2 linked regions of the Xenopus tropicalis genome follow. The protein of the gene in region 1 purifies or fractionates together with the protein of each later gene. This does not show direct contact. Links are inferred from orthologs where the notes say so. Each region holds a gene or a part of one and is shown on either strand. Other genes may lie near its edges.

What was found. Proteins that work in one complex are often made in the same cells at the same time.
Region 2: the proteins of klhl6 (region 1) and nudcd3 purify together in Homo sapiens (affinity purification with mass spectrometry; 3 studies listed by BioGRID and IntAct, counting the BioPlex papers as one, with this or other methods). This does not show direct contact. The link is inferred for Xenopus tropicalis from reciprocal best matches to the Homo sapiens genes KLHL6 and NUDCD3.

The regions. Positions count from the first base shown.
Region 1 is NC_030681.2:127,024,539-127,030,975, forward strand, and holds part of klhl6 (kelch-like protein 6), read right to left. Parts: intron 2,478-6,437; coding exon 2,312-2,477; intron 1-2,311. UniProt on the Homo sapiens protein: Involved in B-lymphocyte antigen receptor signaling and germinal center formation.
Region 2 is NC_030679.2:126,201,227-126,207,663, forward strand, and holds part of nudcd3 (nudC domain-containing protein 3), read right to left. Parts: intron 5,635-6,437; coding exon 5,502-5,634; intron 2,182-5,501; coding exon 2,038-2,181; intron 95-2,037; coding exon 1-94.

The sequences.
Region 1 (6,437 bases):
AAATAACATTTTTATATGCTGAAATCCTGCTGCAAAACAGTTCTCTTTCTGCATAATTTAAAATCCTGGCAGGGGAGGAGGGACTTAAACATTGATGTTACAAACTGTAATAATTTCTCCATAGCGTAGACAGCATGCAGGAAATACATAATGACATCACGTGTACAGAGAATTGTGGGATTTGGAGGATGCAGGCTGAGGAGACAGTCGACTACTGTTACATTTTATATGAGTCTCAAAGCAGTCAGCCAGATCAGCAGGGGAACAGGGGGCGGGGCTTAGGTAACTGATCCAAACCATTTTATTATATTAAAAATCATGCATATTTTTGATTGATGTATATAACAAAGTTGCTTGAAATCATGTTTACTTTTGACAAAGTTTAAGTTGTGTTTGGGTGGAGTTCCCCTTTAAGCAAATGATGCTTTCAACAACAATTACATTTATTACAATTACAAAAGTTAACACATTCATATTGGAGGGTTTCTCAGAATTATGTTTTCTTTTATTCAGCTCTGCTGTGGCATGTATCTATGCTGGGGGAACTGCTCATGCACTCATTGGGCAAGGGTGCTAAACAACTGCACCCAGGTGATGAGCCAACTGGGTTTATCCGATCATTTGACCTTTGGACTGTGGTTTAGTAAACAAGTGAAACCACAATCAGTTATTTTCTTCTGCTTTTCCTGAGTACTATGTGTTAGATAACCCCTTTTACAAAGGCGGAGTAGTGTGATGCCCTTTTTTTTCAAAACCGACTTTGTTTCCTCATCAAAATAGACAGGCCCTGTTCCCACAAGATAGATAAAAGACTACATACATTGGGTAATACAGAAACTAAATGTTTTGCAATGACAGTTCATCTTTGCATGCCATTTGTAATCACTTCCATAGAATGACACAGTTCTAACTGCTCTGTGTCTGGGGCAATTGCACAAACTGCCATTTGCAGTACTATTCCAATGAGCGGGCAAACCCTCTTCCATCTTCTTTGTTCACCAGCTGCGTATCCGTAGTAGAGTGAAAAGCTGTACTTTAACAAAAAAGTTGGCTTTTTGTTTCTACTGCCAATGCATTGGCCCCAGATTGCAGTGAATGTGTGGGGGGGGTGGGGGCAACGGACGGGGGCGGCCTCGGGGCACCCGGATTACATATCCGCCACCCCCCGGGGCTGGTGTAATTTTCTGCTAATTGGTAACCAACCAGGTATCAGGTAATCAATCTGAATCACTGGGGGTGCTTACATTTAGAACCCCCCAGTAATTTAAAGTGTCTTCTTCTTTAATGGTGGATATTCATCCTATGATTAAGGGCTATTTCCAAAACCCGTCAGAATGTTTGTTTCACAGTAGCCTCACATGTTTTTACAGTTAATGGAATAAAGGACTTTTCTTTAGAAGAATGAATGTGTTTTTTTTCTCTTTTTTATAGTGATATTCAACCTATGACCCTCCAGCTGTTGATAGGCTGTAAATTTCATTAACACTGCTCAGCAACAGTGGTAAATTGGGCAGCCATTGCTCACACCAAAGGGAAATGAGTGTTACAGGGTAGTAGGAGGGATTATTACATGGCATTCCTGTATTTTCACAGCTTTCTGGATATTGGGTTTCTGGATAATGAATTCTATACCTGTACTTTGTATATTATTTTACGGTTTACTGAAAACCTTTTCTGAATGTCTAGTGATCACTTGCTGCTGAAGGTCCCTGAGGTTTGTTTCGGCCCCTACTGTAAAATCGGTGTCATCTTTATGCATGTTTTCTTCTGCCGGAACTTACATAAAATAATGGCGTAAAATCTGGCATTCAGTTGGCAAAATTCTCCATTTATTTTACATAGCTTTTTACACTGTTTTTTTTTCAGCATAATAAATAGGCCCCATAGTTGGGTTTCTACTGACTGGTCTTGGAATGACACTGACTTTCACCCAGAATGAATGCACCATGTGCAACACTCACGGAATGCCCTGAATGTTTCCCTTATGGCTCGCACGTATGTCACTTGCAGGGAAAGTATCAGTCAGAGTTATATTTAGGGGTCCAAGTAGGGGCGGTTACTGTGGCCTCCACTGATTGTGGGCTTTGCATAAATCAATAGCCTCCGAGGAAGTAGTGTATATACAATATGCAGTCTGTAAGCCCCTGTCTTACCTGCCTATAATATACACTACAGCTTCACCGTATATTTCCACCTTCCTGTCACTGCCAAGGTGGCGGACATTTCCTCATGGAAGACAAATGCATAGATGAATGTTGTTAATCAGCCAGTAAGCAATAAGTGCCCAAACAAACTGGATTATTTCACAAACCTGGAAAAGGCTGGCAGCTTCCAAGATTTTTTGCACATTGAGTTTTGTAATCACCACTTTGCTTGTGTAAGTATAATCCAAGATAATCTGCATGGTCTCTGGCTCAACTCCTTGGATTATAATTTTCTCTTCATATTTTTCTTTCAGGTCATTACAGAACATGGCCCTGGGAGACATGCAAAATAACAATGTCAAGTGAATTCATTGTACAATAACAACTTTAAAATGGCTTAGTTAAAAAGCAACTTGAAATTGTAGTTCCAGTATTTAAGGTATAGGGTATAGGGATGTTTTGCCTCCAACATGGATTCATGTAGCATAGTTAGGATCAAGTACAAGATCCAGTTTTATTATTACAGAGAAATATGGAAGAGAAATAGATTTTTATCCTATTACTCATGTAGAAGTTAATGGCAGATGTCGCTTGTACAACTGGAAGATCTTTGGTTTTAGAGGTTTTTGGTTTTTTTTGACTGAAAAAGTTTAGCATTTTTCCACGTCTTTCTTCTTTTGTGTTTTTCAATTCAGATCTTTTGATAAGTGACTGACATCTGCGGAAATGACTTTTACAGAATGCCCTTTAGCGTTTTACAGAATGGACAATTCTACGAAACGTTTTAATTGGTCTTTATTATCTATTTTTTATAGTTTTTTTTTAATTCTTTTTCTTACTCTTTTCAACCTTCAAACAGGGGTCACTGATAGTGATGAACGAAATTATTTGGCAAGTATGGATTTGCAGCAAATCTCTGCGTTTCGCCATTGGTGGATTGTTTCGCAAAACGGGTTGGAAAATTTGCTGTGCGCCAATTCTTTTGATGCATGCAACAATTTTTGTGTGAATTTTTCGCCATTTTGCAAATCTTTTGCGGGGAAACGAAACGGGACAGATTCGCTCATCACTAGTCACTGATCCCTGCAGCCAAAAACAATTGCTCTGTGATGCTATAATTTCATTGTAATTGTTACTTTTTATTATTGATTTTCTATTTGGGTCAGTTGAACCCTAGCAACCAGATAACTGCTAAAATTCCAAACTGGAGAGTTGCTTAACAAAAAGTAAAATTAATTAAAAAAAACACAAATAATAAAAAATGAAAACCAATATTCTTAGACTATTACTCTCTCAATATATATCCTTTTTTTATAAGCAGTGTATATCTTCTTTGTTCTGTGCATACAATAAGATAAGCGTCACACTATAGTGACAGAAGAGAAACCCTACAGAAATACTGCAATTGTCACCATTAGTTTGTGTAGTTAATAAATCTTTGTGAACCACGCTTAATACATAAACAAGGAGCAATATATCTACTTGTACAGATTTCATTTAACATATTGTATTTATAAATAAAAAGAGTTATAAAAAGAAGGTATATAAATGGCTTCTGTTGGCCGGCAGTTCTCCAGCTCAGTAGTGCTAGCAGTCACTGACCCTCCTGGGGCTTATCTAAGCAAAACAAGGCAGGGGAAGCAGGGCAGTTGAATCTCCTATCACTCATATAGTGGCTATCAGTCCTCTGGTATTGTTTGGTTCCGCCCCAGTTCCGCCCCGCTTCACCTGCCTATCTCCACAGGTCACAAAGCAGCTGCATTAGAAAGGATGTGTGCCTATGGTTTGCATACATGAACTAGAAGATAAATCCTTATAAGCTTTACAGAGTTCTTTAGGGCAAAAGGCATACACATCACAATGTATCCTTTGCGTGCAAAGGTTTATACGTGTTTACAAAGTAAATGAGTTAAAAGAGAACTAAAGCCTAACTAAAGAAGTAGGCTAGAAATGTTGTACATTATGTTTTGGTTTCTGTACCAGCCTGAGGCAACCACAGCCCTTTAGCAGGGAAGATCTGTGCCCCCAAAGATGCCCCAGTAGCCCCCCATCTTCTTTTCTGCTGATTCCCTGCACATGCTCTGTGCTGCTGTCACTTACCTGAGCTTAGGGACCCACTCTCAATATACTGCATATATAGAATAGAAATGTCCCAATAAAAGGCTGATTACTAATTAATTTAAATTCACATTACATGGCAGCTTTGAAACCAGTTAGAATCAGCTGTTAGAATCAGAATTTAATAATCAGCCCTATACCATCAGTTTATATGACAGGCCAACCTAATTGTTTATGACGACCCCTAAGCTCAGCTTCTCAGCAGCTGCCCAGAGCCCACTGAGCATGTGCAGTGTCCCAGAGAGTTCTAACAGAATCCAAAATGGGAAGCTGATGTGACAACTGTAAAGACCTATATCATTACTACTATGGAGATGCTGAAACTTTTGACTAGTGCATTCAGTTTAAAATATAAAATATGGCATTTTTAGCCATATTCATTTTTAGGGTTTAGTTCTCCTTTGAGACACAGACAGTAAAGCACAGGGAAAAACATAAAGCTTATTTATCAATTTTCAACTATCCATTTTCATTTAAACCATGAAAAAAAACCTCAAATGTATCATATTTATATTCTACCTATCATTTTCAATGGGTCTACAAACTCTCAAAAAAAAAAAACCCATGAATTGAAAGACCACATAATGTTTGCCTAAAATAACCCCAATTGACTTCTACAGGAACTTGCAAGTGTTAGATGCCAAGGTTTTACATTCAAGTGTTTCTAATTTTTTGCGCATAATAACTATTACCTTTGTTAGACTTTGGGAGCTTTTGCGCAAAAAGATTCTAATTTGAATTTGAACATTGATAAATCACCCCCTTACTGTATGCTCAGAAAAGGTTGCATATTTATATTATTACATTTTATTACAAGGAACTACCATATTTCTTGTTCAGGTATCGGACCCCTTATCCGGAAACCCATTATCCAAAAAAGTTCACAATTACAGAAAGGCCATGTCCCATAGACTCAATTTTAATGAAATAATTCACATTTTTTAAAAATGATTATCTTTTTCTCTGTAATAATAGAACAGAACAGTGTACTTGATCCCAACTAAGATATAATTAATCCTTATTGGAACCAAAACACTCCTATTGGATTTTTAACTGCTGTTTAAATAATTTTTTTAGTAGACTTAAGGCAGGAGATCCGAATTACAGAAAGATAACGGGTCCCATACCTGTACTAGCAATGAAAAGTCCATATAGACACTGTAATAAATATATATATATTGGCATAAATATGGTAAATATTTACAAACAATTTTTGTATTCTTTTATTTATAAAAGTTATATTTTGACAATAGAAAAGTTTCTGCGTTGTGATTTTATATTGATATGTAGCCATACTCAATGACGAAGGGCCCATTTGCCTTAGCATAAAAGTGCAGAATTTATTTTAGGACACAAAAAGCCAAGAAATGATGCCAACCTAGGCTAGGCAAAATCCATTATCTTCAGTGGGAGATGAAAATGCTCCAGTGACTCCCCCCCCCCAAACTCTGAACTCTGTTGTACTGTCCACAACCTATTTCTGTCATACTATGGGTCATGGGATTTGTCTTTTTTTTCCTGTCTATTAGACATTCCCAGGGAAAAGTCAGTAGGACAAAATGCTTGATGGTTATGGCACACAGGAGATAATTGTCCAAGCATGGAGGTCTGCTTTAAGGCATATATTCTCTGCATGTGCTACAACAAATTTTTTATGCCAAGATAGTTTTTACCTATGCTCTGAATCCTCAGAGTGCTTTAGTAATAAATAATAAACTGCAGCATGTTTTTGCAGCCTTATGGTGTGTTTAAACAAGGCCTTAGCTGAGACAAAATACATATGTAGATGCTGAACTGTGCTTTGCTCATGGGACAAGGGGTCAGCTAACCAGAACTTCAGCTAAATAATTGTAGACTTGTTCAAAAAACAGACTCAGAATACACAGAAAGTGGCCATATACTGTTTTCTTCCTTCAAAATTTAAAAAACAATAGGAGAAAAATGACAGCTGAAGATGAAGATGTTTTTCAGGTTCAAATAATTGCCTCTGTCTGGGCTTCATCTTACCTGCAACTCCACAGTCGCCGGTATAATCCAGGCTCAGTTTTATGTATGTAGCATGGTCTATACTACAGGCTTTGTCACTACAGTTTAATTGGCAAAAAGCAGTTGGAAATTTTCATCAAGAACGAGCAGTGGCCTTAAGCTAATGCCATACAGGGATGACTCTTGGCC
Region 2 (6,437 bases), on another chromosome or scaffold:
TGCTGCGTTCTTTGTTGATCTTGTCTATGTCAATCTTTTCTTCATCTTCCAATACGGCATTCCACCAAACCTCGCCACACTTACTCAAGCTGATCTGTGGAGAGTTCCCACTACACTTTAAATACAATGTACTAACAAAGTTTCATCACGTTCTGAATGATACATGGAGGGGTTGCAGCACTTTTGTTAATTGGCAGCCTAGAGAATTAAGGTTCATGAGCAACATCACCTATGTGTTTGTATATTTTCCCGTGTATGTATGGGTTTCCCCTGGGTAGTTTTCTCCACACTCCAAACAGGCAGGTTAATGGCTCCTGGTAAAACTGCCCATAGTGTGTGAATATGATAGGGATCTAATACTGTAAGTTCCACTGGGGCAGGGACTCATGTGAAGGATGTAACAGCCCTGCTCAATTTGTTGGCGCTTTATTAAGAATAATGATAATAGGTTTGTTGCAAACTTGCATATGGATTATTAATGAACAAAAAGGGGAAGAATGCAGGACTGATGAGACAATTTTGGACCCTGAAGCAGAACTGTTAGCTGCATACCAACATCCTGCGTTTTATAGTCCCATTTAGGAAAGCAATGGGTGAAATGTGGAGGCAAGTATTACAATGCACAAAGGGAAAAAGAGAGACGTAGAGCCCCTGAAGAAGTCTTGAAGGCATAATGGAGAAAGGTTGTAAAAGAAGCAGATCATGGGATGAACATAAACTCATGAAGTGGTGATTTACTGGAATGTAAAGAATTTGGGTAGGCATTGGGTTTATTTAGATATAATTCTAGAAGGACTCTTGAGGCACTGTCAGGGGAGGAGGAACAACTAGCAAGATGAATAAGCTTTGCAGCAGGATTTATTGTAGACAGTAAAGCAGACAGCCTGCAGAGTGAAAAACCAGACAGCAGGGGACTGCAGCAAATCAAGATGTGTCATGATAAGGGAGTGAATGAAAATTTGGTGGAATCTACCATATGACTACACACAAACTACATTGGAAGGATGAAAGATGCAAGAGAAGTTTCTGAAAATGAAATATGGGGAGCACGGAAATGCTATACAATGTTTATTCAGAGAGCTTAGGAGCTCAATGGACACTCATAGAATTAAAAATATCTAATATCTTAGCCATAAAGCAAGACAGGGATAAGGCGTTTAGGGGAACTTTGAGTCAATGCAAATAAACTTGAATAAACACCCGTGAATCAGAAATAGGATACAAGTTGAATATATACAAATTGAATACTACATAAACCAGAGAAGTAGTTATTAATACAGTATGGAAGGAATACAGATGCAAACTTGTATCATTATTAATAACAAAATCCATGAGATCAAATATGTTTCCAAAAGAAAACTAGCAGGGAGAGTAAAATTTAATGGCAGAACCATAAAGCACCCAAATGCCAGATGTACCAAGAATAGGAAACTTTAAATATGCAATAAGAGAGAAAACAAACGCTTTAGTGTATTTATAATGTATAAGTTCATTTTTCTTTAAAAACTGCTATACACCCACCTATAACCACAAAGTTTAGAGGAGTGGGTAGTAACCAAGGAGCTGGCCAGCAACTTGTTCTTATTAAGTGGTGAGATGAATGGAAGGAGTATGGCCAAGCTGACTATTGATCTAAGTGTAGAAATTATTTAGGAGTTCTATTGGGAGTATGGTCCTGCTAAGTCTCAATAAGCTGATAATAACTGAAGATTAAACCACAGGTTGTGGGTCTCTCAGACATGGCCCATGTGATCTATATGCAGGGTGCATGGTGGGACCATGCTGATGGCAGTAACAGAGGGCTTATTCTGTATAACAAAATTAATTACTGTCACCTAGCAAGGCACCCACCTCTACAACTGACCTAAAAAAATGGCAAGTGAGTGGCATGGAAGAACACATGGGAACGTGAATAATTCAGCTCATGATTGACACCAGTCTCAAAGGAAATAAAAGATCCTGATTATTCATAGTGATTATATATGCCTTAACAAGCTGCACACAAGTCAGATTCAGTATCTTATTAAAGAGTCTTACCACAATACACTTTCCAGGTTCCAGACTCCAGAGAGAGGTCTCTGCATTTATTTTGTGAGTAAAGCTTCCCTCCACCAGAACACGTTCCCCTCCTCCTTCTCTCACCGCCACACGAATACAGCTACTGCGCAGGTCCACTGACACCTGAGGAAGAGGGTGCAGACAAGGGAGTCATACGCCCATTAGAATCAAAGGTGCTCTGTCCTTTACTCAATACAGCAACAGTAGCACAGGTATCACAGAAGATACCGAATGGGGGCCATTTTGGAAAAGGTAATTTTGTGCAATGCAAGTCAGCAGCTAAGCACAGTGATACTGTGCAATGAGTTAGTAAACAATAATATGCAGCTTGTTCCCAACCTGATTCCATAAGCAGAGCTCCTTCTTAATCCCCATGATATCTGTGGTTGGATAGGACATCCTATTATTATCTATGTACAGTTTATAAGCTCATTGTTGGGGGCTGTAATATGAGATAATAATGTGAACCCAGGTTTTATTTGGTCAAAGTTCCATGCTAAAGCAAATGTATTGCCCACTCACAGTCACTTGTTTTAACTCTGTTAACTGGCCATAATTAAATTGAAAATGAACACGGCTGTATATTCTCTTTTCAATATACAGCCATTAATAGTGTTCTGTGGTTTTAAAGAAACAGTAATGCAAAAAAATTAAAGTGTATCAAAGTAATTCAAATATAATGTACTGTTGCCCTGTGTTTGCCCCTACCCTACTATAGTTTATGTAAATATAGCTGCTGTGTAGCCACAGGAATAGCCATTCAAACTGAAATAGGGCTAAATGGCACAGGTCATTTAGCAGATAACAGATAAGCTCTGTAAAACACCATTATATTTTACAGAGCTTATCTGTTATCTGCTATGTAACCTGTGCCTTTTCTCCTTTTTCCAGCTTGGCTGGCCCTATGGCTACACATCAGCTTATTTATATATACTATAGTATTGTTTCTCAAGCCAACACACTAGGTTTACCAGTGCAGGGCAAAAGTACATTACATTTTAAACACAATTTTTGGTGTTACAATTCATTTAAATTAATATGCAAAGATAACAGAACCTCCATAGAAAGGGATAAAACCCACTGTTCTTAATATCAATTATAGTTACAAGTAACTTTAAAAATACAAATTTATGTTTGGATGTTGCTTGGCATTATAATTTTTTCATTATGCAAACACAGAAAAAAACCCCCAAAAATAATGTTTGCCTAATAATAACAATAATAACAATAATAATAATAATAATTCTAAGCAATGTTCCAATATACATTCATTACAAATTTGTAATGGGAGCATCATGGTGTAAGGATGTTTTTTAGCATATGGTACTGGCAGACTTCATATAATTCTATAATTATAGAATCTGCTGCCATCCACCAGGATGATGAAGATGAAACGAGGCTGGACATTTCAGCAAGACAATGATCCCAAACACACAGCCAAGGAAACTCTCAGTTGGTTTCAGAGAAAGAAAATAAAGCTGCTAGAATTACCCAGTCAATCAACCAACTTGAATCCAACTGAAAATCTATGGAAGGAACTGAAGATCAGAGTTCATAGAAGAGGCCCCTGGAACCTTCAAGATTTGAACACAGTTTGTGTGGCAGAATGGGCCAAAGTCCCACCTGAACAATACACGCCACTAGTTTCTCCTACAGGAGGCGCCTTAATCCGTCATTCCCAACAAAGGCTTTTCTACTAAGTATTAAATACATTTCAGTGTTCAGCGTGTTTAATACTTATTCCCTGTGTCATTTCACTTTACTACACATAATGTATGGACTTATTTGTTTTGATTTCTTTGTACATGTGGATTACTTTGGTTGTTACAGACATCTGGTGTAAATTTCATGTCAATAGCCCCATTAGAAATATATTTACTAAGAAAAACATGTTCAATACTTATTTTCCCTGCTATACAAGCAGCACTATATAAATAAATATAAATATGCATACAAACATATCTCCCCAGGGTTCTCTGTCCCTACCACAACTATTGTCATGACATTCATGACAAATTGTGAGGTTATTTATGTATGTTGGTATTTATGTTACACGTAAGTACACTGTGACGGATGTGAACACATCTACATTGCAGATAGGTGTATCTTCATACGTGAGATAGTTCCTATTTTTCTATTTACTAAAATGCCTTTCTTTTTATTAAAAGTTTTCTTAAAATATCAATATGTATTTTTAAAATAGTTTTCATGGGTATCGATATCCTTTGTAACCTCTTAAATATTCTCCCATTTAAATGGAAAGTTCATCTTAAAAATAATTTTGACTTTAATGAAGTCAGTGATATCCTAAGACAGTTTTTTTTTATTAGTTGCTGAAGTATTGCCTTTGCATTGAGCTTGCCCTGTTTTTTGCCACTAATCCATTTGATGGCAGGAGGTCGTCCCTAGCTTTAGCATCGGGAACAGGTCACATATGATCCTAAGGACAGAGGCAGGCATGAGTGGCGTGTCTGGGTTCCACCAGGGGGCCACCGCTACATTAAGAGCCCCACACCCCAGCAGCAGAGGTCTCTCGAAGGGGCCCATAAGGTTCTGTCCCAGTATCCTGCTGGCCCAATATGATCCTGCCCAGCGAAGTTCTCTATCACACCACCTGGGGCTGCCCAGAATAGTAGCATGAAATACACAAGGATAAAAACACACAGACCTACTAGTAGCAGCTACTTTTTCATGGCTACTTAACTCCAGAAAATACCATGCCATAGACAATACTGAGAAGTGCCTCTGCTAAAACACACATAGAGACAATTACCAGTAAATGATCAGCACTGTCTATTTTAGCAGCCGTGACAAGTAGCTGCTACTAGTAGCTCGGTGTGTCTTCACCCTAACGCTGTAGCAGCATCTGTATACTTTCTCTCACTTGTACTACCACCCATACTGGGAAATAAATTGGCATTACAGCTGCACAGTTTAGTCTTATTGTTTACAAATGACAGATTCCAGTCTTTCACATGGGAAAATGATATAATCATATAACACATTACTGTCTGATAAAAGACTGTACAGGTATGGAATCTATTATCCAGCAGGATGTTTGGGAAGGTTTTGGTAATCGTTTTTCAGATTTTTCTGTATAATGGATTTCATACCTGGTATATGTTTTTAATATTTACTGTGATAAACTATATGCCAGACATGCAGAATTACACAGTTACACACTGCGGCATACCACTCTATTTACTTCCCTCCCCAAAGCAGTTTCTAGATCCTTCAATGTATTGATCTCTGTCACCCTCTGCTGGGAAAATGGCTCTATAAGGCAAACACCTTGCCAGTTAGCATCATAACCATACATTGCCTTACACTGCCCCCTTTAGGACACAAGTCTTTGGGACTTGTCTCTTCTCAGTTTTCTGTAATAAAACTACATCTGCCCGCCTGTATATCACAAGTTACTCAATAAATATGGTGTTGCTTACCTGCCGACCTTTTATTACAGATTTAGGCACTGGAACTTTAATTTCCACATCTGTGTAATCCTGAGACCAAACATAATTCTTTCTTATGGCTCCATTGTAACTGTCAGGGTCAGCTTGGTAGTCTTCTTGTTCCCTGAATGGATGCAAATATACATATACTTATATATAAGAGTTGGGGTTTAATCATTTCCAAAAACCAAATGATCTAACATAGAAAAAAAATTGCAATAACTCAAAGAGGATAAGGGAGTTCTCAAGCTATAAACATTAAAGGAACAGTAACACCAAAAAATTCAAGTGTATAAAAGAAATTCCAATATAATGTACTGCTGCCCTGCGATGGTACAACTGGTGTGTTTGCCTCTGAAACACTACTATGGTTTATATAAAGAATGCAGCTGTGTAGCCATGGGGGAAGCTGTTCAAAAGAGAAAAGGCACAGGCAGATAACAGATAAAACACTATTGTATTCTACAGAGCTTATCCGTTATCTGCTATGTAACCTGTGCCCTTTCTCCTTTTTTCCAGCTTGAATGGCTGCCCCCGGGCCTACACCAGCTTATTATATATAGCCTATAGTAGAGTTACTGTAGCAAACACACAACTTTTACCAGTGCAGGGCAACAGTACATTATATTTCATTTACTTTAAAACTCTTTAATTTTTTGCTGTTACTGTTCCTTTAATGAAGAAGAGGGCAACGATGGAGAGTAGGAACGGGCAAAATACAAGCCTACAGAAGTTAATGATGATCAAAGGGATGTAGTAGTTCAACAATCTCTGGTAGGCTTCAGGGAGACCATCTATGCTGTGCAGACAGATCCAGATGATAAAAAAAAAAGAAGAAGAGGAATGACTATGAAAAGGGAAAAATGAGAATGAATCAAAGATGTATGGAAAAGCAAGTAAAATGGATAAGATTCAGGGATACTGAAA